Alligator mississippiensis: one gene and its partners. The protein of the gene in region 2 binds, or shares a complex with, the protein of the main gene of each other region. Links are inferred from orthologs where the notes say so. Each region holds a gene or a part of one and is shown on either strand. Other genes may lie near its edges. The genes, in order: RSU1, LIMS1 and PARVA.

What was found.
Region 1: the proteins of LIMS1 (region 2) and RSU1 are in contact, whole or in part, in a crystal structure (PDB 7LT9), measured with the Homo sapiens proteins. The link is inferred for Alligator mississippiensis from reciprocal best matches to the Homo sapiens genes LIMS1 and RSU1. Residues at the interface, in NP_001180417.1 of Homo sapiens: Cys252, Phe253, His254, Cys255, Asn256, Leu267, Asn268, Lys269, Ser279, Thr280, Cys281, Asn282, Thr283, Glu293, Phe294, Asp295, Met296, Lys297, Cys303, Lys306, Phe307, Pro308, Glu310, Leu311, Arg314, Leu315, Lys317, Leu318, Ala319; in NP_036557.1 of Homo sapiens: Asp21, Ser23, Asp24, Gln44, Val46, Ser48, His49, Val67, Asn69, Phe71, Asn72, His90, Asn92, Met95, Glu112, Asp115, Thr117, Tyr118, Arg137, Ala138, Tyr140, Ser142, Asp143, Ile161, Ser163, Arg165, Asp166, Glu184, His186, Gln188.
Region 3: LIMS1 (region 2) and PARVA share a complex: the UniProt entries of both Homo sapiens proteins name them as parts of the heterotrimeric IPP (ILK-PINCH-PARVIN) complex. The link is inferred for Alligator mississippiensis from reciprocal best matches to the Homo sapiens genes LIMS1 and PARVA.

What each region holds. Positions count from the first base shown.
Region 1 is NC_081828.1:180,988,269-180,998,063, forward strand, and holds the start of RSU1 (ras suppressor protein 1), read right to left. Parts: upstream 3,856-9,795; 5' UTR 3,753-3,855; intron 3,630-3,752; 5' UTR 3,627-3,629; coding exon 3,518-3,626; intron 1-3,517. UniProt on the Homo sapiens protein: Potentially plays a role in the Ras signal transduction pathway. Capable of suppressing v-Ras transformation in vitro.
Region 2 is NC_081824.1:349,549,076-349,558,984, reverse strand, and holds the start of LIMS1 (LIM and senescent cell antigen-like-containing domain protein 1), read right to left. Parts: upstream 3,678-9,909; 5' UTR 3,530-3,677; coding exon 3,348-3,529; intron 1-3,347. UniProt on the Homo sapiens protein: Within the IPP (ILK-PINCH-PARVIN) complex, binds to F-actin, promoting F-actin bundling, a process required to generate force for actin cytoskeleton reorganization and subsequent dynamic cell adhesion events such as cell spreading and migration.
Region 3 is NC_081825.1:201,149,226-201,158,994, reverse strand, and holds the start of PARVA (alpha-parvin), read right to left. Parts: upstream 3,866-9,769; 5' UTR 3,772-3,865; coding exon 3,636-3,771; intron 1-3,635. UniProt on the Homo sapiens protein: Plays a role in sarcomere organization and in smooth muscle cell contraction. Required for normal development of the embryonic cardiovascular system, and for normal septation of the heart outflow tract.

The DNA of each region.
Region 1 (9,795 bases), on a different chromosome or scaffold from region 2:
AAGGGGACAAATTCAAGGCAAACCTCCAGGAATTAAATTCTTTACCTGGAAAATTATAACAAAATTTATAAAGTTTTCTATATGTGAAATTTTAATTACTAAGGGGCCATCTTACATTCAGGGTTATCTTCTAATCAAGTAAATACAGTAGCTGCATTAACAAGTGGCCAAGTAACTACTTATGATGTGATTAACTGGTTAATCATGTCTTAAATGTAATGTGTACCAAGGGCCTTAAGATACTTTCTCTTATTCTCTACAGATTTTTGGTGCTCAAAACAATGAAGGATATATTTTATCCCTAGTTAATACTGTATCTTCCTAATAATTCAGCACATAAGCTTCAAATATTAAATTGAGAGAAGTTTCCTTCAAGTCCAAAATGAAATATCAGTTTATAAAAGGAGAGATCATTTTCGTAATAGCTTCCACACAAAAATGGGCCTATACTCAAAGGCAAGGTTACTATATAAGCCAAGGGAAGATGCTACAGATGTGTTACTGCCAACGTTTTGATGGAGTAGAATTCTGCTCATTTAGATCTGGGTGATTTGCAACCCATCTCATTCACAGCTGGGTGCTGAATTAGAGGAGCCACTCAAAAGTTTGCTGCTGTTTTTACTTCAAAAGGGTGCCACTTCTCCACTTATATGGAGCTCATCAATGGTCCCATGCAGCTAGTCTGAGAAGAGGAACCCTATGAAATAAAATCCCCATCATATATAGCTGGATCACCTCAAGGGTCCTGTGTCACTATGTGCTACAGCTCTCTAATTTATCAAGTAATTCACAACCTTTATTTTCAAGTGCAATACGGGGAAATAAGATAAGGAACTTAACCCTGCAAAGTATTTGGGTTCTACTGTATAATTCACTTAACCTAGAGCGTTTCTGTAGGAAATTCTCATATTGCCTTACTTTGCAGTGAATTTCCAATGCACTAACTATTCTGCATAAATCCCTTGCCTGGATGCTCTCAACATGTAGCACACTGGTAGTTTACTAGACTTTGAAAATAGGATTGGAGGTGTGGCCTTATCTTTGGAAAGCAACTAAGGTTGCAGGGAAAGGTTTCAGCAGCTAGCTGAGGAAAATACAGATATCAAGTATCCTTATATTATGAAAAGGACCAGGTTAGGAAGTGACCACACAGAGATCCAGAAATGGGTCAACCAGCTCCACTTCCTTACTGATTTACTAGGAAAACATGGAAAGCACTGACCCCTTAGATCAGGGGTGGGCAAAATACAGCATGTCAGGCCATTCTATCCGACCTGTGGGGCCCCTAAAAAAATATTTAGAAAATGAATATTGATCTGTCCTTGGTTCCTGTCAAAAATGACAGAAACGAGGGTCTTAGGACCCAGGGGAAGCCTGGCCCTGCCTCCCCACAGCTGGAAGCACCAGCAGGGCTTCTGACCTGGGACCATGTGGCTGCACCAGCCGGAACCTCAAGTGGGCGGTGGGGGGACCCCAGGCAGGGAAGGAGCTTGGAGGAAAGCGGCCCCTCCCCCACCCTGTGGCCATCGCTCCCTGCTGCAGCCACTCGCAGCCCACATGGGGCTGTCCTGAGTAGGCACAGGCAGCCCCAAGCAGGCTGTGTGTGGCTGCAGAGTACGGCACCGACCATAGGGCAGCCAAAGAGCCGCTTTTCCCCTGCGCTCAGCTCCAGCTTGTAACCCACACCCACTGCCAGCCTGGGCCCCATGCTGGCTCTGGGCTCGCCCGTCAGGGCTGCGCATGTTGGCAGCAGCTGCAGCCCCCACCCTGCTTTTGCTGCACTGGGCAGTGTTTGTTGCTGTTGCCCATCCAGAGCTCACGCGCTGGGCAGCCCACAGGCAGTGGCAAACATTGCCCAGCGCGGCAAGCGGGGGAGTGGGGGGGGGGTGTGCTGCAGCTGCTGCCGCTGTGCGCAGCCCCAACGGGTAAGCCAGGAGCCCAAGCTGGTGCTAAGCATGGGGGAAAAGTGGCCCCTTGCCCGCCTCGCACTACAGCGGCTTGCAGCCTGCATAGGGCTGCCTGTGCCTGCTCAGGACAGCCCTGCCCAGGCAACGAGCAGCTGCAGTGGGGAGCGCCAGCCACAAGGAGGGGCCACTTTTCCCCGTGCTCAGCACCAGCTCCTTCCCTGCTGGCGAGCAGGGGGTGGGGGCTGTGCGCTGCCCCCGGCCTGTACCGTGGGGCTGGGGGGCACTGGGAGCATAAAGGTGCACAGGGCCCACACCGGTGTCCCGGGGCCAACACCAGTGGGCCACAGAGCAGGTCGACAGGAGCTCTCCCTGCTAGTGCAGCCCAGCCTGGCTGCACTGAATTGTTCATAGTAGGACAGGATAACCAATTAGAGACTAACTGGCCTGTCCTACTATGAACAATTCAATTCTGACTTTTAGATCATCTGAACTCTTCTAGTACCAACCAGTGTTAGTGCAAAAGACAGACAGGGAGACCCCTACACCTACAGAGCTTCTTTGCAGAAACACAGCACTGCTGCTACTAATAGCATTGGGCTTACATTGCTCATGGCCCAAGTTATTTTTCTTTAGCACCATGGTTCACAGCAGAAAGCTCAGAAACACCTTTTAACTCCAAAAGCAATGAACTGTAAAGTTGATACAACACATACCCATTACAATGTGTTCATTCAATACATATTACAAAACATAGTGATGAGAAAGCAATGAGCAATTCCCTTTTTATAAGTACAGTAGTTATAAGAAACCTAATGGGCAGTGTAGTTCACCCTAGCAATTCACTAGGTTATGAAATACAGAATCGGGCTCTAACTCAGAACCCAACATGAAGCCTTCCATGATCAAAAAAGATGGCTGGAAGCCTTTGCAGAAACAGAACTACATACTGTACATTTAGATCCTGGTTCAGTACTTGCCAAACTCAGGTCAAGCCCATAAAAGTTGCTCCCATTGAAATCAATGCACCCACTGGAACATTTCCAAACTGAAGTCAGCGATACTGCTCCTATGCTTTGAGTTAAGACAAACAGTTGTACAAGGCAGCCCAAATCAGAGCTGGAGCTTTAACAATGTAGTTTTAACCATGTTTTGGGGACTGCAAATACAAGATGGACCATGCACCAAGCGACTCAAAATCCCGACGCCAAGTGATTCCCGGCACTTCCCTTCACTTTACCAGAAGCCACTGGGTATTTTCTCCAATTTAGGACTGCTATGTCAGACACGTAAAAATACAATTCAATAAGCCAAGAGAAGGGAGCAGTCAGCACAGGACAGGTTGAAGACGTAGATTTTTAAGGGGACTCGTGCACAGGCTTTTACATCGTCCCCGAGTTTGAGCGCGCCAAGTCTCGGACAGATGGAGCAACCTGGGTGTGGGATGGGCCCTGAAGACCAGGAAGGCACTGGCTCAGTGGCTGCAGGGGCCGCGCCTCTGTGGGCTCTTTTTTAAAGGGCACAAAACTTGGGCCTCCCACTGGAACCCGCCCTGGGGGAGGAGGACAGGCCTGGGCCGCCCCGAGGGCCCAGCCGAGCGCGGCGGTACCTACACAGGCCGGGGACGTCCAGCATGTTGGAGACGCCACGGTCGCACAGGTCGAGCTCGGGCTGGCTCTTGTCCCGGCTCTCCTCCACCAGCTTCTTCAGCGACTTGGACATGGCCTGCGGGCGAAGCACACGCGCGTCACGAGACGAGACGAGACGGGACGGGACGGGACGGGACGGGACGGGACGGGACGGCCCGACCCCACAGCCCCTCGCGCGAACGCCCCGCGCTGCACTCACCGGGCTCGGGGGTCACGTCTCGCAACGCTGCCCTAGTGCGATGCACGCCAGGCCCCGCCCCACCCCGCGCATGCGCAGCGGCCCCCACACCCGGGAGTGGCGGCGGAGGCGGCGAACCGCTCCAAGCTCCATATTAGGCGAATCGCTCCAGGCCGGTGCTGCTCCCACTGTCATGGAATGCACCGCTCCCGACTGGCCAATCAGAGCCGCAGCTCCACCTCCGCCCGGCGCCCATTGGCTGGAAAGTTCGGCCCGGGAGCCCAGCTGCCCAATGGCAGCGCCCGGCCAGGGAGCCGGCCCCCGCCCGGAGGGAGGGACCTGCAGATGTCAGCTCGGGCTGGGGGTGGCGTCCCCCGGGCTGGCCCTTGTCCTGCAGTCAGACGGGGTTCTGGGACCAGCGGGATCCCGCTCTGGGCAGAGTCAGCTTCCCCCTGCTGAAAATGCGCCCTAACCACCAACCCGCCTTCATGCTGAGGAGGCTCCTGCCCCTTCCCATGAGAAGGTTTACTGGGCCAGCTCCAGTAAATGGCACTTGCTTTGCCTTTGCACCTCTGCTCTCAGGAGTACTCAGCGGAGGTCCAGGATTTGGAAGAGAGGGGGTGGTGGTGCGGTGCATGGTCACATGTAACAAAACATGCTTTTCTCCGGTTAAAAAGAAACTAGCTTTACTAACAATAGAGCCTGGGGCTATACTATTCAGTTAATACAAAAACAAGTATAATTTTATTAGACTGTGCATTCATTTGCTACATAATAATAGAGATTAAAACCACAACAAACTAGGCAAAAGACACTCAAAAGATGTTGCTTCATCAGTTCTGTTGTTAGAATTAAATCACCTTGCAGATTCATAAAGCAAAATCTAGCCTTCCTGAGCATCTTGGCAGTGCATCCACTGCTTTAGTAAGAGTTATCTCCAAACCTGAGTTAACGTTTTTATCTAGAGTTAAAAACAGACAGCAGGACTGTCAAATAGGAGCTACGTAACCAGGAGCAGCTATGGCAGCAGAATGGCTGAAGAAAGGACAGCTTGATGAGTGGAACATTAATACCATTTAAGAAAAGAGAAAGTTATTAACAGTTGTGGAATGAAGTGATCAGAAGGAATTAGGTAGATTATAGCGAGCCATGAAGTCAAGTGACTCCCTTGCTGCTGCCTTAATAGAAACAAGGCCGCCAGGGCCAGGCAGTTGGTTTGGGTAAAGCAGGAATCAGAAGTGGGTGTGACTGCACCACTGCATCCACCTTGGATCCACCCCAAATATTTTTCTATCATTTTCTCTTTAAAGGCTACAGTTGTTTAGAACAATGGCAACAGCTATTTCGGGGGGAGATTTCAGACAAATTTTCAAGCATGATGTTCTTTTTCTGACACCTGGGAAAGAAGCAGATACAGCCTGAGCTAAATACTTTTGTTTAACCTTATTATGTAAATGACAGGAGTGACTTGCACAGGAAACTTGTGAAATGGAGAGAAATTACAATAGTTGCACATCAGGTAAAGAATGTTTGAGAAAGATGAATGTAATTCTGTAAAATACTATGACCACTCAAAAGTTGAGACCAGCTATTACTTGTGGAGCACAGAGAGGTTAGAGGGACAGGTTAAGTGTGATCAGTCATAAAACCATCACCTATGTTAAGTCTGCAGTTTTGTGTGTCTGGCAAAGTTATGCTATTTTCCTCCCATCTTCTGAAAGGTTTTGCTTAAATTTTCCTTCGGATACTAACTGTTAGGCCAGAGGTGAGGTGGTTATTCTGTTTAAAGTGTCCTCACACTAATGACTTGTTGTTTTTGTCCTTTTTCCATTTCCCTAAACCTTTTTTGGAGGACCTGTGTACCTAAATAAACCCTGTTTCAACATCAAAACACAGCTGCAGGAATTCCTTTTTATTCAAGTATTCAGAGGTTAAAGAACCCAGCACAAACATGTAAGATATGAATTTAGGTGACCAGAACTCTAGTATAATGATTGCGACTTTCACCTGGAGGTTGAAAGTGGAGACCTGAGTTCTAGTTCCTGCTCCAGTAAATACCTAATATAAAATTTGGCTGAGGTCATACCTGGGTCAGCTCTGACCTAACCTGACATCCTAAACACTAGACTAGTGGTTCCTAATCTAGGGGCCACAATCCCATTTGGGCCCATATAAATTCAGTTACTGCACATGGGCTTGGACTGCAAGTGGAGTTGGGTGTCGTCACAAGATGACCTAATTGGGTCATGACCCTGGAAGTGAGTTCACAGCCTCAAAAACACTGGCTTTTGTTTTTAAGATGGCTTGTGTTACATATACAGCATCTAAAACAATGAGAAACTGATTCTCCAGGCAGTAATGCTAAGCAAAATGGAAGTCATCACAACTCACCGCTCCATGTGCGCTGTTAAGAATGTCCTCAAACCTATAGGAAAGGAGAGCGGGCCAAGTTGGAAGCATCCCACACTTAGAGCTAAGTTCCTTTAATGCAACCCCCACTGCAAAATGTTGCCAACCCTTGCTCTAAATGGTTCTGCCAAGAACCCAAAAGGCCATCTCATTGAATTGGACATATCATCTGGGTCCAGTTGAAGCTATTCTGCTTTATAGGAATATTGAAATTGTCAAGTAAGCCAAAGAGAAAGTAACTAAAAATGATTCTGTAGAATGGTGATTAGGATCCAAAAATAAAAATAAAAGTCTTTGATGGTAGAGCAGGCAGATGAATAAAGAATACTTCACAGTCACTGCAAATTGAATGAAGGCTGTGGTGAAATAGAAATAGTTGGCCTCCTAGGTTTCCTTGCTGTCAGATTAAAGATTTCTATCTGCAAAGTATCTTGTGGTTGCTGATATACAACAACATCATGTTAAAAGAAAACACATGCAGGCATTGTCCTTCAACAGCATATCCAATGGCGATGGGAGAGTGGTGACAGGGACAGGAACTATTGATTAATGGAAGTTCCTAGTTACAGACCTGTGTGGAGTCCATGATTGTCATATTGAACTTGGAACTGAGATAGGTGTGCAAACTGGCAGCTCCAGTCTGACTGAGCAGGCCTATACCTGGAACATCCGCACCCTAATGGACAACTCTAACAGCGACCAACTGTAACAAAGGACAGAACTTGTGGTCAGAGAACTTGCACAATTTGATATCGATGTCACCGCTCTTAATGAGACCAGATGTGCAAGGGAGGGGCAGCTTACAGAGCATGGTGATGGCTACACCGTTCTTTTTGAAAAGGAAAAGCCAAAAACACAGACCCCTCTATAGAATTGGTTTTGCTATTAAGACCAAGATTGTTACTCAGATACTGAAATGTCTGGTTGGCATCAATGAGCATCTCATAACCCTTCCTCTTCAATTGACTAACAGACAACATGCAACAGTCATCACTACCTGAGCCCCAGCACTTGATGCAGATGATGAAACAAAAACAAGAATTCTGTTCTAAATTTGACCAAGTCCTGTCATTTGTCCCCAGAAGAGAGACAATAATTTTTGATGATTTCAATGCTAAAGTGAGGATGGACTCTGAGCAATGGAAAGGAACACTTGGAAAGGAAGTCAATTCAAATGTAATTCTTCTCCTGAGCTAGTTTTAGGAACATACTCTCATCATCACAATCTCCTTATTCCACTAAAGCAACAGATGAAAGACATTATGAATGCACCCTAGCTCAGAACACTGACACCTGATTGACTACGTCATAGAGTGTGCCCAGAACTGTCACAAGGTCCGTATCACCAGAACTATGACCAAAACAGATGACTGCTGAGATGGATCATTATTTGATACACTTTCATGTCCATATCACCCCAAAATGACATGAACCAAAGAAAAGGTTCACTATTGAGTGCTTGAAAGACCTTTCAAAGAGCAATCATCTTCAGCAGTGCCTCAGCGAGAAACTATCCAACCTCCCTGATCATCTTCATGCCATCAATCACTGGAAGAGCCTCAAGAAAGGTATCCATGAAACATGCAAAGAATCTTTAGGCTTCTCCACAAAGGAACATCAGGACTGGTTTGATGAGAATACAAGCTGTCATTGACAGAAAAAAAGCAAGTTTTTGAAGCTTGGTGAAATGACATGAACTCCACACAGAAGCAAGACCTTTATTGCCACACTAGCCAACTGTCCATCAGGAATGGGGGGCAGGCAGGGACAGAGTGCTGCCACCCACCACCCCACTCCACCACCGCCTCCCAGGAGCCGGTGGGGAGGAAGCTTGCCCCACCGTCCTCTCTGTCCTCCTTGGCCAGCACCCCATGCCACCACCACCTCCAGGGAGCAGGGGGTACAGGACCAAGGCCTGCCCCCCGCCACTCCATTTCCTCTGTTCCCTCTGCCCCCACCATCATGGCGGCGCTCTGCTGTGCCACCACCACCTCCTGTCCAGAACACTTTTGGAGTACTCTGATTGGTTGTTTCAGTCAGCATTGTGATTGGCTGCCAAGACAACAAATCAGAGTGTGAATAAAGCATTATGGACAGACAGACTAAGGCTTTTATTATATTAGAATTAAAGCTGAGACCAAATAAAAATTCAAGAGTGAAAGAACAAGTGGTGGGAGGACAAAGCAAAAGAGATGCAAAAGTTTACCCCAAACCATGGTCAGCATAGTTTCTTCAGCACAATCAAAGCTATCTATCAGCCAAGCAGACAAAGCCATCTCTCTCAGGTCTAAGGATGGAACAATGCTCTTTAAAGACAACTCCACCATAAATGCAGAGTGAAAGAAGCACTTTCAAGAGCTTCTGAATTGAGATTCTAATTCCTTGACTGTACCATTGAAGCCATTTCCCAACATCTCTGTCCCAGGGGGATGAAAAGAGAGGGGCAGAAACCCCTCTCCCCTAATCAGGGTCATGGTGGGGATAGCCCACCGCAACCTCAAGGAAACAGCGCCTTGAGCAGGGTGTATTTGCTTTTTTCAGAGGCAGCAAGTGAGGGCAAGCTGCAGAGGAACAAGCCTCCTGCATGGTTCATCAGTCATTTTACTATATGGCTGGAACCAGCGCAGGAGGATGACAACATCAGAAGATGCCGCCCAGGCATGATAAAAGCCAGTAGTAGGGAAAGGGCAGGGAGAACTCAGCAGAGAGGAGGCTGTGAGTCCCTCACTCTGGCAGGCCCTTGGGCTGACCAGGAACCCTCCTGTTCCTGAGGGGAAAGGCCAGGGGTCCATTCCCCAATGAAGGAGCACTCAGCACTGGGCCCAGGGAGTGAGCTGAGACCTGGGATCACACCAAGGGATGACTGGCACCTTCAGATGCAGGACGCATGAATAGGGAGGAGGCCCCAGGCCCTTCCTGAAGTTTAAGTTTGAACTTTCTTTTGTCTTCATATTGATGCCCTGTAGGCTGGGAGAAAAGGCCAGAGGATTAATGTTGGGGGCTGAGCACCCCAGGGCTCCTCAGACACTCTCGACATAACAGGGCCAATCCACCATTAGGGTCGACCCAATACCCACGAAGCCCCATCGGGGCGGGGGTGTTGAACTGTCGCCAGGTCCATGGCTGATGAGCTGCAGACCACAGCCAATAGGAAAGAGGTAGCCAACTAAATCATCACAGCACCTGACCTCCGAGGTCAAGAGTGTGAGATTGGGGATGCTGGGGGGCTACGGCACACAACAAAGGGTCAGACTGACCAACATCTGACCATCCCAACAGGCTGGTACATGGCAGGAGTGTCGGGGAGGTGGAGCCCCTGGAGCATCCACCATTTACAACTCCCAGCATGTCCTTCCACAACCAAGGGGAACCCCAGTACTGAACTTAACACCTAAGACATGGCAAGTGAGTGTCAGGGTTTTCCCTGGGGAGGAGACAAGCAAACACCAGGGCAGCTGGAACTGACTCCACAGCAGGCTCAGAGGTCTGGCTCAAGAGCTACCTGGGAGAGGCTCTATGAAGCCAGGCAGGTGCAATCTCATTAAGGATGATATTGCAGGTCCCCAATTTACCATAATTTACTTGAATCTAAGACAACCCTGATTTTAAGATGACCCATCCATATTAGATTCTATACAAAGAAAATGTATAAATG
Region 2 (9,909 bases):
ATTGACTTCAATGGGAGCCGAGACAGTTCTACAGACAGAAAATAGTAAAATGTCATTTAAATCCATCCCCCGTCCAAGCCCTTTAGTAATAGCATATTTGCAGATTTGTGTGAAGGGAAAAAACAGGTAAAGTTTTCTGTAACAAGACAGAAGATGAAAATAAAATTATAATGGTTATGCAAAACAAGAGCCCAGCTTATCACTAATTTAAAATTGGTTTTCCTCTGTGAGATGAAACCAAGAATATTGCTCTAAAATGCATGTAAAACCAGTACAAAGTATCTAGGGCATCAATGCACAGGAGTGGAATTCATAGTACTTAGCTTCTGTGGCAGAAATAACCAATGCACAGAAGAGTGCTCTTAAGAAATATTAATTTTGCAAAATAATTCCAGCTACATGGAATCTGAATCAGAGACTTGAAAACCACCCACGTAAATAACCTAGGTACTTCTGGGTTCCTAGGCATTTGTAATAAAATGTTAATGCAACATCTGCAAAAATCAGAAACCAAACTCACTCTTTAGGTTTGAATATTCAACTGCAATAAATCAGCATTGCTCCATATCTGTCAACTGGGGGACCTGGCTCTAATTTTTTTAAGCCCTCGGACTTTACGCTGTTTCCCTGCTTACACCTAAATTCACAAAAGTCTTTGAGGCAGAGCTCTCTACCTGTACCTTTATGTGGGGAGCAAATACAGGGCAAATGATCAATTTAAGAATATTTGGCAAACCACTTGCAGAACAGTTATAGAGTATAGATAAAACCCATTTAAGGGATGTGAATTTTCTGGTAAGATGATTGACTGAGGTATTTTTATAAGAGAAACTGTTTCTATTCTTCAGTAAGTAAAAAGATGATTTCTGTGTTTGACAGGAAGTCATGTTGCATCCATATAAAGGGAGAGCAACATCCTCTATAACAAGGGTTGCCAACCTGCAGCACAAGTGCCACAGGCGGCCTGTGTGTATGGCTCATGGCAGATCAGGGAGAGGAGAAGCAGCACAGTCACAGAAAGCAGAGCTGGAGACTGGGCAAAGTACAAGGTAGGGAGCAGAAAACAGAGCACCAGACCAGGCAGAGCATGGGGATTAGAATGGCACTCAGAGGGGTACATCTACACATGAGCAATAAACTCGGCAGTTTTTTGCTTCCAAGTTTATTGCTCCTGGGAAGCTCCCTGGCACGTGGTTTAGATGCGTGCCCAAACTGCAGCATACCGAGCCAGGTCTGAGCAGCCTCGGCTGGCAGGGAGTCAGGGGGGTCAGCCTGCCAGCCTGGAGCTGCTCTGACCAGGCTCAATGTGTTGCACAGGGGCTGGATAGGGCACAAGTGTGCTCCAGTGTGGGGCAAGCCAGCAGACAGCCTCTGCACTGAAGCACCCTCATGCCCTAGGCAGTTGGGTCTGAGTCTACACATGTGCAGCTGTGCACAAAAAACTGCTGCAGGGTAGGACTTGTAAATACTCTGCTGCAGAGTTTATATTAGTTTCCTGCATCCTAACAGGGGTGCATGTCGAGACACAGAGACATTTACTGCAGAATTAATTGGTCAGCTTTACAGTAAATGCCTCATGTAGGCACACTCAGGGACAGCACAGGGCCAATTTGTGGCATGCCTGCCAAAAAGGCTGGATGCTGAGTATTACTTTACAGGTATTAGTGTCCTCAACTCCAACTGACTTCCTCTGTACAAAACTTGCGTCGGTTCATGGTATTACATTAACACAGATTGTGAACAGATCTGTGATTCAAGGACTAGACTCCTAAATCACCTCAAGACCCATCAATGAGCCTTGGCAGAGATCATCCTTGAATTGAGGGAGTGCCAACAATAATTAACACAGTTCTTATTAAATGGTTCCAAACTGAGGAACTATATTCTTTATACCAGTAAGTCTCAACAAGGAAACTGAGAGATCTTTTAAAGGGTGATATTAGCACTGTTAGGTGCTCCAACATGATTCATAAGATAAAACCAGTGATTTCAAATAGGAATCAATCGTGTCAGAAACCTTCTATCCTGCTGTGGTCGTTTTGAGTTCTTTGCAACAGAATAATTGCTCTAGTATTTTTTATAGTCACAAAACTAGTAAAAACCAACATTTTCTGAGGGGTGCTGTCTAATGAGGGGTGCCTCAAATCTGAAGAAGTTGAGCAGCACCGTACATAGACTCCTGGTGGCCCCACACGAACTTTTAGTATCAGGCCCCGCTTCGCCAGAGATAATGATACTATTAATAAAAAAATGACCATTTTCAAGCCCCCTATTTGTCTGGGCCCTGGGCAGCTGCCCGGTTCGCCCATGCCTGTGTTCGGTCCTGAAGCTGAGAACTACTACCTAACACTACACCACAGAAAAATAGCAAGCCCTGCTTAAAACAGCACTTGCCTGGTTATTAGTAATCTGCTGGTTTTTCTATTCTACAACTCTTTTCAGAAGAGGGTGACAGTAGCTGCATTTTCCACATAAACCTCAAGAGTATCAGATCAAGAGTATTCCATTTCTCACAGGGTTTCAAGCAAATGTACATGTGTGTGCACGCATGCACGCACGCACAAATAAGAAACGTAAAGAATGTCTAGCTGTATTGCTAACTGCCTCTCTTCATAAACTACTTCTGTCAAAACTATTGTGCTTTTTCAAAGGGAAACAGGTTATTTCACACCCTATCTACTGAAAAAGTGTCCAGATTTGGTGTGAATATTGAACACAGTATAACTTGCAACCTTTTCTATAGCTCAACAGCTTTTGCATAGAAAAGGTGAACAGATATTGTACCTTAGAATTTAACTTCAAGCATTTCTTGGATACAAAGTACTATCTAACCAGAAGTAGTTGGTGAAGAAACTTCGAAAAGCATAGCTTTTAGCAAAACCAAAAAAACCCAGAAACAAACAAACAAACAAAAAACTCCTCGCCCTCAAAGCTTTCTTTTCTCCCTGCAGAACTCTCAAATACTTAATTCACTTTACTTTGAGAAATGTCAAAATTTCCTAATGGCAACATAAGCTTACTATTTGTTATGGTAATCAATAATTATCCACCAAAATGTAATAAATAGAAAGTTATGGTACCAGTAAGATCATTTGTACCTTTTCCCCCAAAATTTGTACAAACTAATATCCAAGTCTCACACACATAATTTGATTTGCAAGTGCAAAATAGTTCATTAAAAAAATCACGTGGGGATGAAAACTACCAATTAATCAATCACAACAAGTGGAATTGCACTAGAGAATGGATCAATCCTATTCTATACAAAATAAAACGAGTAAAGACAACTACAGATGTTAAAAGGTGATCTGTCAAATAACATCCAAATGCTGAGCAAGTGAACTTACGATCTTGCGTAAAAGTCACAAAACTCTTTGTATACTTTTATTTCACTGTGCCTACGCTGTAATTTTGACACTGGTTTTTCGCCTTCATTTCCTCTGATATTGTAGGCATCCTGAGGGACCTTGTGTGGAGCGTCTTCAGTCTCTGGAATCAGATAGGAGCGAGCTCTGCTTTGGAATTCCATCCTTCGTTAACTATTATGAAAAATCCACTGTAATACTCAAAAGGAAGCTGCAGACAAAAATCCAGAGAAACAATACGCAGGAATCCTCCTTGTTCCCAGGGAAGTGATTTATTTTCACAGTGTCATGTCAGTTAGCTCGGCTTGTCGAGCACTCTGGTAGAGCTTCACGTTAAGAGCTCAGCGGCAGAGCAGCTAGAACGTCATGCTGCTATTTACTAAGGGGTCATTGGAAGCTGAGGAACACATTCCATTACAAGGTTGTAATACAAACTTGGACAGTACATCAGGGCTTCACTATCTATTGCCGATAGAAGAATTCTAGTCAGGCACAGAAGAGCTATTTTATGAGTAAACCTGTGCAAGTGAACACATTCATTGTCAAGCTCATCAAGTTACTAGAGGAAAAAAGTACTAGGTAGAAAAAAAATGACCACAATGCTACTTTATCATGAAAACACTAACACTGAAAAACATACAAGAAATATTTTGTCACTAGATGAAGATTGTTTTTAAACTTCTGGCAAACTAAATTGTAAAAATAGCCTTTTGCACTACTAACGAGTCATTCTTAGTTAAGTAGTCTGAGATTATAGATCAACAAGGACTTAAACTGCAGCAAGGGAAATTTAGATGGATGAACTCTCTCACTAAGAGGGTGGTTAATCACTAGAACAAACTACCTAAAGAGGTTGTGGAATCTCCTTCATCACCACACATTTTTAACTGAGAGTTAGGCAAACACTTGGCTAAAATGGTTTAAACCGAGGTATCAAAGGTATGGCCCATGGGGTCCAACAGCTGGCCCCTGCCCCTGAGTCTCGAGTTGAACCACGTGAGGTGTGCACTGGACTGGCCCCATGCGTAGGGCCCAAGACATGCCAAATGCGATGCCTGCTCCAGCCAGTGTAGGACATGCATTGCATGTGCAGACCACTCTGAGACCTGCACTACAAGCAGCACCCGCACACAGCCAGTTCAGGACCCCTCCGCCCGCCACACACCAAATCTAATAGCCGTGGCGCTTGCTCTAGGACTGTGCTGCACAACCGGTTTGGGACATATGCTGTGTGTGATCCACATCCCAGACTGGCTGGAGCAGCTGCTGTATCTAGCATGTGAGGAAGGGCATGGGACTCATTTGGCCTGCAGGGCTGGCCCTGAGTTATTCACCTGGCCTATGCACTGGTCCTGTGCCACTCATCCAGCCCATGGAGCCTGATCACTTTGACACCTCTGGTTTAAATAGTCATGAGTCTTCCTTGATCAGAAAGGGCTGTCCAAGATCAGGGGTTGGTATCCTATAGTCTCTGGGCTGTAGCCAATGGATATGGTAACCTACAGTCTACTCTGCAGAGCCTATAGATCCAAGAGGACTCTAGTGGTATTCATGGAGCAGGAGGGCCTCATTCATGCTATGTTGCATTGCAGCTAGGTAGAGTGTGTGGAGGTTATTCCAGCCTGTCACCACAAAAAGGCTACCAATTGCTGGATTAAATGACTTCTTAGTGGTTCCTACCAACCATATTATTCTGATCCCATAACAATTTTCTTCCTAGAAAAGTAGAGGGTTTTTTTTCCATTTTCCTTTCATTAACAGAATTGCCAAGAAAGGTGTAGTTAACTATGTAAGAAACAGTGATAACAAACTTGATTTTCAGTTACCAGGCTGTGCTTGCAGCACTGTACTCATAGAAAAAGTCCTATACAGATTGGAAATCTGAAAAGGGAAGAGAAGAGAGAAAACCATCCTGTTATCACATGGATGACAATTCCTGATGCTGAATGACACCATTTTTTCATATTATTTTAATGCTACATTCTTCTTAAAAACAATATCATTTTCCATGTTCTACCAATGGCAGGCCTCTTAGAGTAGTTATCTCACCCCAGGAGATTATGCATCTTTCGGTTCCATAGGAAGGTCAGATAAAGTCAGGACTGGCAGCCAGTAACTATGCTCTCTTGCCATACTCTAGCTGGTTAAAATCTGATACCTGTGACACAGATGACAGGCCCAACCTCTAACAGCTTTGGACTTTCAAACTGAAATGGATAGCCCAAGTAACTAAGTGATGTGTCACAATCAACAGACTCTCATTAGCAACTGGTTAAAAATGCACAGTAAAGCCACGCACAGGTTACATTGTCGACAGGAGTGGTTTTGGTATCTATGCTTGTTACTGTGTAGCATGAGAAAGCCAGGGCAGAGATCAGGGAGAGACTAACTAGGAACGAACACTTGAGCTCGCAAACACAGAAAACTGACAATATTAAGGGAACTCCAATAAAGCTTCTGTTTCTTAGGAAATGCCAGTGGCTTTAAAAAAAAGGAAAGGCCCTGTTTGTACTACAATTTTTGACCATGTTGAAAATAACATCGGCACAGCTGGCTGACTCTAAATAATGTTCGAGGCAACATTGAGTATGGTTAAAAATGGCAGCAAGACACCCTAAGCAGAGGCCTAGTCTGACACTTGGCTGTTTTTCTGCCACCAAGCTGTGTTTTTGCTGTAAGGGACAAACAGAGATGTTGTGCAACTGGTTTGCGCCTGTCCTACATCCACTTTCTCTTGGCTGTATGACGCTCTGGAGCATGCTTCCCCCATGTGCAGCTTGCAGTTTTCTGTGGGCAGGTCCTACAGGCATTCTAGCCACAGACTAAAAACTCACTGGATTGCAGCCTGGGGTGTCACAGGACATGCCTTTAGCATATGGCTCAGCAGAAGCACTGGGTCACACACTCCAACATGGCTTTGATGCCAGAATTGCTGTCATGTAGACACAAACTGAACCTGACGTGCTACCTGTCACTAATTAAGGAGGTGAGATTTTTTTTAAAGTACTTAAAAGACACTTTACCAGTATAATGGAGACAGGACTTAGCACCACCTGTACTTCATATAATGATGTCTGAATCAAACATTTTTCCTCCCCCGTTCCCACGCCCCCACAGTGTAATCTTGAAACAAAATATGTGGCAGGTGCATGGACAGGAGACAAAATCTGTAGCTGTTTCTGTGGAACATTTACAAGTACTTTAATCTGTTAGAGCAGGAGTCTGCAATCAAAAGCTGCAGACATGCGGCTTTGGCAGCATTTGGCAGTAGGGACAAGTGAAGGCTGAACCCTCTCCCTGTGGCTTCAGACAGAAACTGCGATGATGGGAGCAGGGTCCTAGTGCCATCTTGACACACACTGTTCCTCTACTAAGCCTTAGTGCCACTCTTTTATTGATTAATCCTGCCCTTCCTGTGGAACTAAGAAGGCAAAGAAGCTTCATCATGATACTGTATCATTAACCCAGGGCTAGCGTGCATCAAGAAGTAGTCTTTGTCACAACCCAAGGGTGTGATTTTTGTTTGTGTGTGCTTCGGCACTGCTGAATTATTTCCCGCCACTTGTAGCTTTCTTTGCAGGGTTGCAACACAGAAATGCACGTTGCAAGGAGTTCCCGCCATTTGTATTCAAATTCGTGCCCCACTATTGGTCAGTTCTAAATTATTCCTACGTGGTGGCTAGCGATTGGCTTGCTAGCCATATAAGAGGCTTGAGTGGTTTCCGCCCAAGTTGGAGGACTCCACGAACATCAGGAGGAGGAGACTTCACGTCTCGTGAAGATCTCTAAGCGCTGCGGAGCCTATTGGACCCAGCGTGTATTTCAAGAAGGCTATAGGGGTCTGATCAGCCTCTCGCCTCTCCCCGTCGCCGCCTAATCCCTTGACATACCCTTCCCTGTGCGCACAAGTTCCACGGAGCCTAGCAAACTTCGTGTGAGTGAATCCAGAGCTCTGTCCGAGTCCTTAAACTGGGACTTAAGCGAAGTTTTCCTGGAAGTTTTCCAGCCTGCACCACGACCATCTACAGTGTAAGTAAACAATCTTAAATCAACCATTAAGCGTCTGTGCCTAATTCTAGCGTGCCACCTGCCTTCCCCGACCCGGCGTGTCCGGGCTGCTGGCCACAGCCCGCCGCGCGAATAAAAAGGGCCTCGGACTGCTCCCGGCCCGCACAGTCTTAACATGGTGCCCATTGGGCACCATTAGGGTTTACAGTTTCCCAGTTTATGAATTTAAAAAATCCTCCTGGATTGTAAAGCATTCATCCAGGGGAATAAGTTCAAGGTGCAAACAAAAGCACACAAAAAGGGCCAAACTGTATTTGTACTGGTAAGGCACCTCCCATTTAAATGTTTTAACACAGAGTAAAGCCTGGATATCAGAAGCATTTTAGAGGTGGAGAAAAGTAGCAGTGGCGGCTGGTTTGGAAGTGCTGGCCTTTCTGGAACTGAGCTGTGTTATTTCAGCCTGATGCTCTGAAAAGCTTGCCAACCTATGGACTAGAATAAACACCTGTTGTTTCTACAGGCTAAGCTCATTGGAAATGCCAAGATTCCTTTGTTTCCCTCTATTTTTCTTGCCCACGAAGCCCTCTGTATGCTACTTTCCCATCCCCCTGTATGCCTGTGGGACCCCAAAAGCCAATCCCTCCTCATACCAATGGCTCCTACGTGTCTCTTCATTCTGCCCCTCCCTGAATTTCCCCTTTCCTATCTGGGGAGGAGAGCGATGCATGGCCCTCATTTTCCCTTTCCACTGTTATAAACAAATGGATAACAGAGGCACATCTTCAAGTGGAACAGAAGGCGCAGCAAGCTTGTATTATAAAGGAATAACTGGCCAGCTGTCAGATGCATTTTGTATGCTAGATGCTTTTACAGTTCCTAGGCCTCTTCATTCAGTAACAAAATGGCTTTCTGGCAGGTAAGCTCTGAGTGTTCAACTGTGAAAGCTCTAGGCCAGTGATGTTCAATCACAGTGATGCTCAATCAATGTGCCCCAGCCCAGAAAATAAGGCAGGTAAGAGCAAGCTCAAGCTCTCTGGGTCTAGCTGCTCCCCTTGCCCAGCTACCCAGCCTCACTGCAAGAAGGGAAGCCCTGTGATAAAATAAATGCGTTTTTTAAATGAGGTGTCATTCAATTCATAAAAGGTACGGAGGGGTGCCTTGAGTCCAGTGAGAGGTGCCTCACATGTAAAACAGTTGAAAACCTCTTGGCCCAGATTCCGTTCTCTCTTCCTCTGGTATTCAGGAACAAATCCAGTAAAATCAACAGACATGTAGCTGTAAGTCTAGCTAGAGTTCTAGCAGAAGCTCCCTGCGTTTATTTTACATTTGTAGTCTTATCACTAAAACCAGCTAGGAGATTAACACAGGCCCTGCCCTGCATGCTGAGAATTTGAGGGAACACAAACTTTGCTCCACAATTCCTTCTGAAGACGGTGGGAGTCAGATGGGCAGAGCGGCACGAAACATTTTAATTTGCAAACCCAAATAAGCTTGTATTACTACTCTAACACACGATAGAGAAGATTACACAGTAGTTTACATTGCAAACAAAGAGACAGGTTACCCTGCTTGTCACAGTACAAAAGGGAAGGAGGCAGAGGTGACTATGAACCATTCATGTATCCCTGGGATTACAGACTGTGTAGACTACTGCAGGGGCTGAAATGGCCCAAGCTTCAATCAGCAGTTTCACAGACTCCTCTGATTTACAGCAGTCTCCTAGGAGCAATGCAGGGGGTGTCTCCCCTGTTCGCAAACTGAGTAAGAAAAAATGGATCAAGGATTCATAGGGCAACAACTGAAGAGATAACTAAGGATGTGAAAAAGGGAAAAGGAACTGGTAGTTTTCCTTCAAATTCTTTAAAAAAATAGGAATATTATTCCTGGTGCTGAGGGAGGGCATCAGAAAGGATAACACTAAGAACTGGGTAAGGACATAACAGAGAGTTAAGAAGGGGAAAGGGGAAGGTATCAGGCAGGGGGAGCGGTGACATTACAGCAGTGATACAGGTGGAGGATCAGTTTATTGGTGCTTTAAAGTTTAAGACGAGGCACCTACATTTGATATGGTAAGAAACAGGAAAGAACTGAAATTAACCTTTTGAAAATGCAGGTTCACAATGAACTGGATACAACCCCAACTATAACATTATGAAAGGTGGGTAGTAGCGTATTACTAATGTTAATTAAAGCAGCTTTTAATAGAAAGTGTGTGCTTCTTTGCCAGCTGGCTGGTACATGAAGAATTACTACTGCAAAGCTCCTAAACCCCTCCTGAGTGGATTCTTTAAAACCAGGCTGAACATTTTGGCATTTGCCCAAGAAAATAGGGAGACTTTTATAGAGAAAGCTCTGCGGGCAGCAGCAAGTCCTGCTGAACGTTTTGCTTTATTCCACAAATAGATGTGCAGAACAGTCACATCTCCAAACTAGGTTTTCAGCATTAACAGCTGCCATTGGCAGCCTAATTGCACCACAGTGAAATAATGTTGCCCACTTCAGCTCAAAAGCTGCTGTTATGATTGTTGCTTTTAGG
Region 3 (9,769 bases), on a different chromosome or scaffold from region 2:
ATTTGTGGAAGGATCATGCCCACAGAATGATCCTGTATGCAAGATCCAGGCATGGACTGACGCTGTGCACCAGCCTGATCCAGCACGTGGGGCCATATCATCTGGCCTGAGGCTCCCCAGTCATAGCAGGGCAGCTGGGCAAGGAGCACCACTGGCTGCTGCCATGCCAATCGTGACAGTGAAGTCACCTGTCACTGTGGCAGTGGCTATTTTTCTGTCCCCTCAAAGGCAGAGTTTGGGATTGCTGTTTCCCCCTGCTCCCTAAAGTGATGCTACTGGAACTCCCCACAGCTAGATGACAGCTCCTTGTACTGGATCCAGCCTGTGGGCCATAGGTTGAGCACCACTGATGGAGGTATAACACCACAGCTAGGCTCCTGGGGCAGTTGCAACACATGGGGACAGCAGCAACTTCTGGCTGCTGTTGTGCTTCCAATGCAATGATATGGCTGTGGTGGCACTGTTTTTTTTCTGTTCCACTCCCCTTCACCCCCCTCAAGTCAGCACCTGGGATAGCTGCCCTGGTTGCCACACTCTAGTTATGCTACCGACCTGTGTATGGACCCATGTAATACTTATTTAAAACAGTTTAAATGTAGTTTAAACCTGAAACAGACATTTAAAGCTGCCTGGAATGGCTCAGAAGTGTACCTGGAAAATCAGTGCACCATGTGTTAGTACACTTGTGAACCAGGTGCATCCCATATTACATAATTCCTTACTTCCCTCCCTCCCCCCCCCACTGCAACCGGTCACTCAGCAGCCAGAACTCTACGGTTCCTTTATTTTTCCTTTTGTTGGCACTTCTTATCAATAATCTCCCTTGCACTATTTGTTAAATAAACAGCTTAGTGCGTCCTTACTCCCTGTTTGACTGCAGCCCATCATTATGCCCTTCAAGCCCCTGGGAATGCTAAACATGGGTCCAAGCATTTCCCTCATTCTACCTGGAATGCTAGGGAACTATAGATGCAGACTTCTGAGCAGCAACAATGGTGAACCAGTTCCCAGTTGATAACATTTAGGTATGGTTCAGTTGTTACATCTGCTACTCCAGGGAAGTTTGTCAACTTTCTGAACAAAAGCAGGGTATAAATTACATTGGTATACAAAACTGATGTACATCACGCAACAAAAACCTGTTGTGGGTCCACACCTGCAGCTTAGTGAGAAGACACACTGATGCCACTCACATACATAAAAATAAATTACTTTCTTCAAACCAGATGTTTAACTTTGATGACAACAGAAGCAGCTTGACCACATCTTTGCCATTCTAAGCAATATAACCCACAAATAGTAAATGCCGTATCTTTCAAGTTTGCTGGTACAAGTGTTTAGAAGTAAACAGCTCAATTTCTAACTTCAAGGACACTGATGAAATCTCTTTTACACTCACAATGTTTCGAAAATTTAATGTTTGAACTGAGGGCAAACTCCAGTTCTCAGTCTCGCTTGATTTTAACTAGGCAACAGATTCAGGCATACAATGCTTGTATAATTTTGAACAAGGCTGCTTTATCAAAGTGGGGATAAATATTAGTGAAAATTATCAGCAAAAATATTGGTAAAAAAAGACTACTGTGTACTTGGAATTTGCGCGTCCCTTTGCATAACGACAGTGGTATTCAACTTACTGGCAAAGTTAATTCACAGAGGAGCAGACCTTTCAAGAAGGAAGAACATTACATTCAACAACTGAATCAGATTTTTTTTATATTCAGCCTTTATTAACTGCTCAAGGCTTAGATGCTACATCAACCTCTCCAATCAACCCACCTATGTACTAGGTGTTGCAAAAACTTGCCTGGACAGGATAAGCAGAGGACACAATACCTTGAGCTTTGAAACTTGTTGGGTTTTTTTAAATTAATGCCATAATCTCTTTTTAAAAAATACCCGGGTCATATTCGCACATATTGCAGATCAAGGTACGCGTGCTCCAAGCTCCCTTTTGTATTCACATGTTCCAGCAGGAACTCTGCAGGGCTGGGTCCCATACACCAAGTTAGAGCCTGACAACTGATTCATCTTAAACCAAACATAAGCCCTACACGAATTAACTCACATTCCCCACAAGAATTAACCTGCCAATGCCCATACTGATTCCTAGCATGGAAGGACCAATATGACAACTCGAGCAAATACAGAAATGATGGGGTACATGGCTTTAACGTGCCTGGACAGACCTGCAGATAAGTGATTCTCTTGTGACAGTTAAACCATTTCACACTAGCACAGTAATATCAGGGATCTGCTTGGGTGCTTTATATGAAGCACTTCAGGTCTTTCAGCAAATTGCTGTGAAGACTTCAACAGAGGCCCCCTTCATTCAGTATTACACCCCCCCAGCTCTGGTCCTATAGTCCAAGAAAACAATCGAGCCTAGTGCAAGAGTGATATTGTAGCCATGATGGTTCAGAAATTATGCGAGGCAAGGATTTCTTTGGGCGGTATCTTTTATTGGACCAACTCTGTAGGTGGAATATAGTTAGACAAGCTTTCAAATACAAGACATTCTTCCTCAGGGACCTAAAGAAAGTCCCCAAGCAGATGCTTGATATGGAGCAGTATTACCTTGCTAGTGTGAAATGAACTTCACCTGGTTTAACTATCCCAGGAGAATCACTTACCTGCAGGTCTGTCCAGGCACCTGTTACAGCCGTCTGCCCCATAATTTCCCCATCTACTCTAGTTGTCAGGTGGGTCCTTCCATGGTAGGAATCAGCATGGGCATTGGCAAGTTGTCCCTGAACCACTCCCAGTCTCTCATGTGGTTTCATTGCTGTGTGGAAAATGTTTGGTTTAAGATTGTGATTCCCAGCCTCGGGTCACGACCCAAATAAGGGTTGTGGGGGCAGTGGCGGGGGTGCCTCACACAGAGGATGAGCCACACCTAGTGCCAGGAGCTCCCCTGTCCCCACCCTTGGGCTGCCGCCACCACGCTCTGCTCCCAGCAGCGGGTTACTGCAAAAAAAAGGTTGGGAACCGCTGATTGAAGACGATGCAGTTACCAAGCTCTCACTCTGCGTCAGGGTCCCAGCCCTGCCCAAATCCATCAGGAAGAGGTGACTGCAACGGGAAGCTTGCAGCACTGCAGGGCACCTTGACCTGAGGAAGAGCGTCTGACACCGGAAAACTTGTCTAACTTTAACCCAACTCCACGGCGGGTCCAATAAAAGATCTCACACCAAGAAACCCTTGCCTCCCCCCCTTAACCCTTTCATCACCATCTGCCCCTCTTCTGCCAAGCACCCCTCCCCCACTGTCCCGGAGAGAACCGCGGTTCTAGAACGCCTGGCGGCCCCGCCCCACCCCGCCCCGCCCCGCCGCACGCCCACGTGCTGCTCCGAGGAGCGCCCTGGGCCGCGGTGGGCGCCCTGCCTGCAGGCCGCGCGGGGTGGGGGGTGGAGCCTCCTCGCCCCTGCCCCTGCCCCTGCCCCTGCCCCGGTCGTGGCGATGCGCCTTGCCACGCCCGCCGGAGGGCCCGCAGGCAGCCGCCGAGGAGCCCGCGCGCCCCAGCATTTTTGTGGCGTGACGCGGGGCAACCCGCAGCCCCGCGCCCCGGGGGGCTGCGGGTCACAGCCCGGCGGGGCTGTGCCCCGCCGCCTGTTTTGTTTTTTTGGTTTTTTTACCTTCCTTGGCTTTTTTCCTCCTGGCCAAAGTGCCTCCGAGTTTGCCCAAGAAGGAGTCATCTTTCTTGCGAGAAGGAGGAGACTTGGGCGTGGGGGACTTGGGCGCCGAGGGCGACTTCTGAGGGGACGTTGCCATGAGCGGGGCGCGGGGCGAAACAGCCCGGTCCAGCGCCCGACGTGAGGGGAGGTAGGCCGGGCGCCCAGATGTAGCGAGCGGCTGGCTGCCCTGCTCCAAACGGAAGCGGAATTATTTCAAGCATTTGAGGCAGCTCCTGCTCTCCCTCCTTCCTTCCCTCCCTCCCGCCCGCCCGCCGCCGCCCGGCCACGGAAGGCCGCTGTCGCCGCCGCGCGCGCTGCTCTCTCCGCACCTGCCCCGCAGCCCCTGTCGCCCCCGCTGCCGGGCTGGGCTGGGCGTTAGGCCGGGATTGCTTGTGCCACAGGCGGCTGTCTGGCGCTGGAAGGAGATCTTCGCAGTCCCGAAACAAGATCCCGGATCCTGCCTGATCTACTGCCCCTCTGATCCAGGCAGAAGCCACCCCCAGCCCCCCTGGCCTGTGCTTCTTCGGGCCCTGCCTCAAATTAAACCTGGACTAAAGAGCTGCTCTGTGTTTTCAAGCCTTGATTTTACTGTGGGTTGGCTCTTTCTATAGCTGGACCGTCATTTTTACCCTGCAATTGTTATTTTGCACAGCGCAGTTTGTCACCTTTGATCTCATGAGCCTGGCCCACCAAGTTTCTTACTGGCCTCCCTTGGGCAGCCAGGCTACAGGAAAAGGTGCTGACAGGCTTGGGACAAATCATAATTAAAGAAACGGGGATTGGCATGCTGGTCACAGGTTCAAAAGAAGAGTGCCAAGGGCGCAACACAGAGCAGAGCACACTGGACCAGCCCTCAAGCGAGTCCAAGGAGCCAGCGGACACTGCCCAGTCCACAAATGACTGGTCTAAATTGGCGGCACGATTAACCAGTTACTTGTGGGGTCAGTACTTTGCACTTGTGGCCCATCTTACTTCGCGTGTGCGGCTAGTTTGAATTTATGCCATGATTAAGTAGTGGATTTCACAATATATGTAATGGGTAGGAGGGGCCTTTGTGAAGCTTTTGACCCGTTACAAATAAGAAAGCAACCATGTTCCTCATAACTTAGAGGGGGCTAGGCATTTGTTTCCTAGTGGATCAGACAGTAGTACCACTGGCTTTATAATATGCTGAGGTATACGGTGGTTGGGACAGCAGTGGCAGACTTTCACACCTGGCAGACTTTCAGTAGTCTTGGAATAGAATTTTCTAATAGAAATAGATTACATATAGGGTGTGCAACCCCCTTAGTATCCTCTTTTTACCTAAGTTGTCCAAAGCTGGGCCTAGGCCATAGGTCAGTGACCACTGTAGTGAGGGAAGGTGTAAATAAGCATAAGCGCTGACTTTGGTTTTTGCCGTGGGTGGTTTGGTTTTTTTTGCATTCCCACACCGAGCCCTGCGCACGCCTAGAAGAGACAGCACGTTACAGGCATTGGGCGAGCTGGGTTGAGGTAAAGATCAGGTGCTTATTGGGGCTTTTTGGGGGCTTTTATCTAATAGCTTATTGAATAAGCTTTAGCTAAAATTGCCTAAAAGCCCCGCTGAAGCACCCAATCTTTACAGACACTGCAGAGCCAGGTTGAAGTAATGCACTGCTTCTTCCAGTAAAGTGCAGTTTGGTTGGGTTTTTTAACATCCACAAGCAGCCACAGAGATCTAACATGTAAAACCAAAACAGCTGTGTGGGGCTTGTGGGTGCTGAGAACCTGCCAGTTTTTTTTGATGGGTGCTTGAGCCCCAGAGCACCCATGGAGTCAGCGCCTATATAAAGAAGCACCTGCTTTTCCAGTCCGCATATATAGGGACAAGGTAAAATTGCGGCCCTGTGGTCTTGGCATTGCTAGTAACTTATTTACATTACAAAAGCCATCGGGCTTCTTTGATTTACAGTGGGGACTGGACCAGCATCAAGATTGGCTCAAGATAGATAAAGGCAGCTAAAAGCCAACTGCCCTGGCTCTACATCCCCTCCCACTCCGCACAACTCCAAGCTTCCCAATCCTGCAAGTGCTCTTCAGTCACAATTGAAGATTCTGTTTTATCCCATTTATATTTGTATGCTGCATCCCTTGCTATAGGTTCTGGGCCACAAACTAAAGCCCCAATCTTTCATCCCCATAGAGATACTGAACTTTGCACGTGGGATTAACCTAAATCAATAGAACTACTTGGGTACCAAAACTGAAGCACATGCATACACGTTTGTGGGAACGAAGCTCAGATTAGGAAATTGTGAAACGAATTCTGTCAGTTCGATGAATTTTTCCAGCGTATATGACCAAGGAAGAAGGCAAAGAACACTAAGAGGATACCATCGACTTTTCTTCAGGTTAACATTTAGGTTTCCAAATGTAATCTCAGATAAGCAAAATTCCATCTACCACCACATTTCTGTAGCACCCATCAACATATATGTATATGTGATTACTTTGTAATCGTATGAGAATGACAAGATGGCAATGTACGGGTTAGTAGGAAAGAAAAGAAAAAAAAAAACCTTAGTGACAGGACAAACTTACATGAAAAATGAAACATGTTCCTGGTGAGGAACAACATCGTTTTCCAGTTCTCCTATTAGATTTGCAAACAAGTAGCTTAGAAGAAAAGTATGTCAGAGGCACACAATTTACCATGATTGACAGTTGATTCAGGAGAGGCCCAGGACTGGAACAGCATTAATGTCTTACGGATGTGCTACTTTCACTTACCGTTTAATCACTCGATTAACAATTTAAGCAAAAAGCCACACACACTTCATGCAAATATCTGGCTATCCATTAGGCATAGTAAGTGAAATGAAATTACCATGAGGATATTTCTAAATCAGTTAATAATTGTTGTGTTTTTACAAATCAGTAACAGGTATCTGATGAGAGGGAGGCATCAACAAATATTTACTGTACGTTGTTTGTACATGCTCTAGAGACTAACATTAATCAACCATACAGTGCCATTCTTTTAACAGAAAAGTGGACTAGAAGGCTGGTAGAATACCACATTTCTTTATATTTGCTCTCGCTGCATTTGTCATTTTGAACAGTTACTTGCATGGTCTACAGTTTCACATGCTACTAAATAAACTCTGTATATTTACAAGTTTTATTTATTTACACACTGTTTGGATCAGGTCACCAGCTGCTTTGAACAGATTTTTTTTTTTTAGGAATATAGAAACTTTTTTAAAGGAAGGAGAAACAAATGTCATATCTACCTATTGTATATGCATGCAACTGTGCCATAGGCATTTACAAGTAGAATAGTTTTGTGAAAAGGGATCCATTTATGCCAGGGGCAGGCAATTATTTTGGGTAGAGGGCTGCTTACTGAGTTTTGGCAAGCCATCGAGGGCCACATGACAGGCAGCCCAGGGCAGATAAATATTAATTTTCTAAATTTTTTAGGGGCCCCACGGGCCAGATAGAATGGACTGGTGGGTCACATCTGGCCCCCGGCTGCATTTTGCCCACCCCTGATTTATGCTCACCTGGCTGCATCTGGATGTAAACATAGGATTTTATAAAGATACCAGAGGTGGGATGAGGAGCAAAATTTGGCAAATGCAGGTCACCAGATTCTGTGGCACCCACCGAGGCAGATTTTGCATCCTGCAGTGGATTCTGAAGCGCACATCCCCACAGTAAAGGATATCTTAATGTTTATAAGAAGCCACGCTATAATTGCATACACTCCCAGCTTTTATTGACGTAAATTATTAACCATAAATACAATTACAATAATATGGTGTGGGGTTGTTTTTTTCCCTACAGGTACACACACATTTTTCAGGGGTAGTCATTCATACCACTGTTTTATTGATTTAACCACAGTGTCATATCACTCAGAGTGATTCATGTTAGAATTGCATAAGATGACAACAAAGAAAGATTTTGTCTGAGATGCTTTCCAAAGTAACTCAGAGGGGTAGAATACGTTATATACCTACCATGGTATAGAGCCAATAAGAAAGAGAACTGATGCAGCAGAACTAATAAGACAACCTATAACCTGAAATTATTGATTCATGAGAAAGATCAGCTCTGATGTTACATATGGTTTTTGCTGCTTTCCTGCATTTGTTCAATTGAATTGTCAAACTGTTGAGATGGACTGAGGTCATGCAGTAAATTAGTGACTGATCTTAGATTAGAACTCGGAATCTTTTTTCTAACTAAAATTTTGATTCAAATGTCTTTGGATCAAATACTCTTCTGATTCTTAAGGGTAAGATTGTCAAAAACACTTAGTTTTGGCCTGCAACTGTTCCCTTCCTAACAGTAAACTGGTTGCTGGTTGTGCAATACACTGTGGTAGTGATATGGTCATTGCAAACTTTCACTGTGGTGTTCAGGAAATTAATTGGCTGGGTACAGTATTCCAGACTCAGTTTGATGGACAGATGGAAGTTAAAGTCTTGGTGCAATTTCTCTAAAAATGCCTTCCAGTGTGCCCATATGATAAAGATATCAATGCACCTTAAGTTTTCCAAGGTATACGGGGCCGAGGGGAGCACAGGTGCAGAAGAAGCGAACTTTAAGGTCTGTCATAACCAAGGATCAAGGTTTTCTGTTTCTTGTAGAAACACATGGACTTACCTCTTTAAAAGAGAAAAACACAGATTTTCCACTTTTAAGTGAGAAAACATGGGTTTCCCCTTTTGGAAACAGCTTTCTGCAGGCTGGCAGAGTTCCAGCCTACAACAAGCTGCTTGCAAAAAGGATGCAAACCCTAAGCCCTGTCCAGAGGGGTAGGGGAAGGGGATGGGGCCTAACAATTTGAGACCAGCCAGAGCTGGCTCAGATTCACTTTGCCTCCTGCAGCCTTTCGGGTAAAAAGAGCCTGAGGGGACGGGGCCTGAAGACAGGGGCTGGGGGCCTCCTCCAGTACAGCTGGGGAGGGGCAGGGGGTTGCAAGTGGGAACGTGGGGGCCAGTAATTTTCTGGTTCCCTTGCAGCCCCTGGGCCTGATTTCATATGTTTCAGGGCCCACCGACTGGCCTTGCAAGGAAGGGAATCCTAGTGATAGGGCAGGGCTAGTGGGATAGAGGAGGAGGAGGGGAAGTGGGAGGGAGAAAAAGCAGGGGCCACCCAGGGGGCCAGGTGGGGTCTGACCCAGCCATCAGTTAGCCCCCACCAGATGGGGACCACTGCCACCTGCCCACTCCCCCCATGTGGCCCACTGCAGTCCTCACCCCACTACCCCTATCCTGCTGCTCCTGGCACTCACTGCCCAGATGGTTTCAGATGGTGGTGGCAGGCATGTAAAAGCACTTGGGACCAGTAGTAAATGGGTTGAGCTAGCGCAGTACATCCTGGCAGAGGGGCTCCAGGATCTGCAGCAGGGACAGGTGTCAGTGACCGTGGGTAACATACAGTGGGCAGGGGAGATGGGGGTGGCTAGGTGGCTCTGAATGAGCTTGCAGTTGTCAGGAGCAGCTCCACTCTGATGGTCTGTGCTGCACTGCTCCCGCTGCTGTCATCTGGAACCATTTGAACAGTGAGTGCCTGGGAGCACTGGGGCAGTAGTAGTAGAGTGGGTTGGCAAGTGGCAAGTAGTAGCAGTGGGTTGGCAAGTGGCAACTCACATGGGGGCAGCCGGTGGGCGGCAGTAGTCCCTTCTTGGCAGGGGCTAAAAGGCAGCTGGGACACACCTCACCTGCCCCATAGATGACCCCTGCTGCATCTACCTCCTTTTCTCCTTCCCACCTGCTTTGCCTGCTGCCAGGCTTCCCATGGCTGGGGGATGACAAAACACAGGACTCAGGGGCACTAGCAGGGTGGGGGGGGGGGGACTGTGGCTTGGGAGAGAGGAGCACCAGCATGGGCAGGGGCAAGGCATTAGCATGTCAGGGCTGCTCAGGGCTACACAGCAAGCGTGGGACAGCTGCAGGTGGACCTGCATTCTGGTGCAGAGGACAGGAAGCTGCTGTCGGGAAAGAGCAAGTGGGGGATAGGTAGGGGCTGTGGATTGGGAGTGAAGGACGCTGGCATATCAGGGCTGCTCAGCACCACAGAGCAGGGGGAGGACAGCCACAGCTGGACCCATGTCCTGGTGA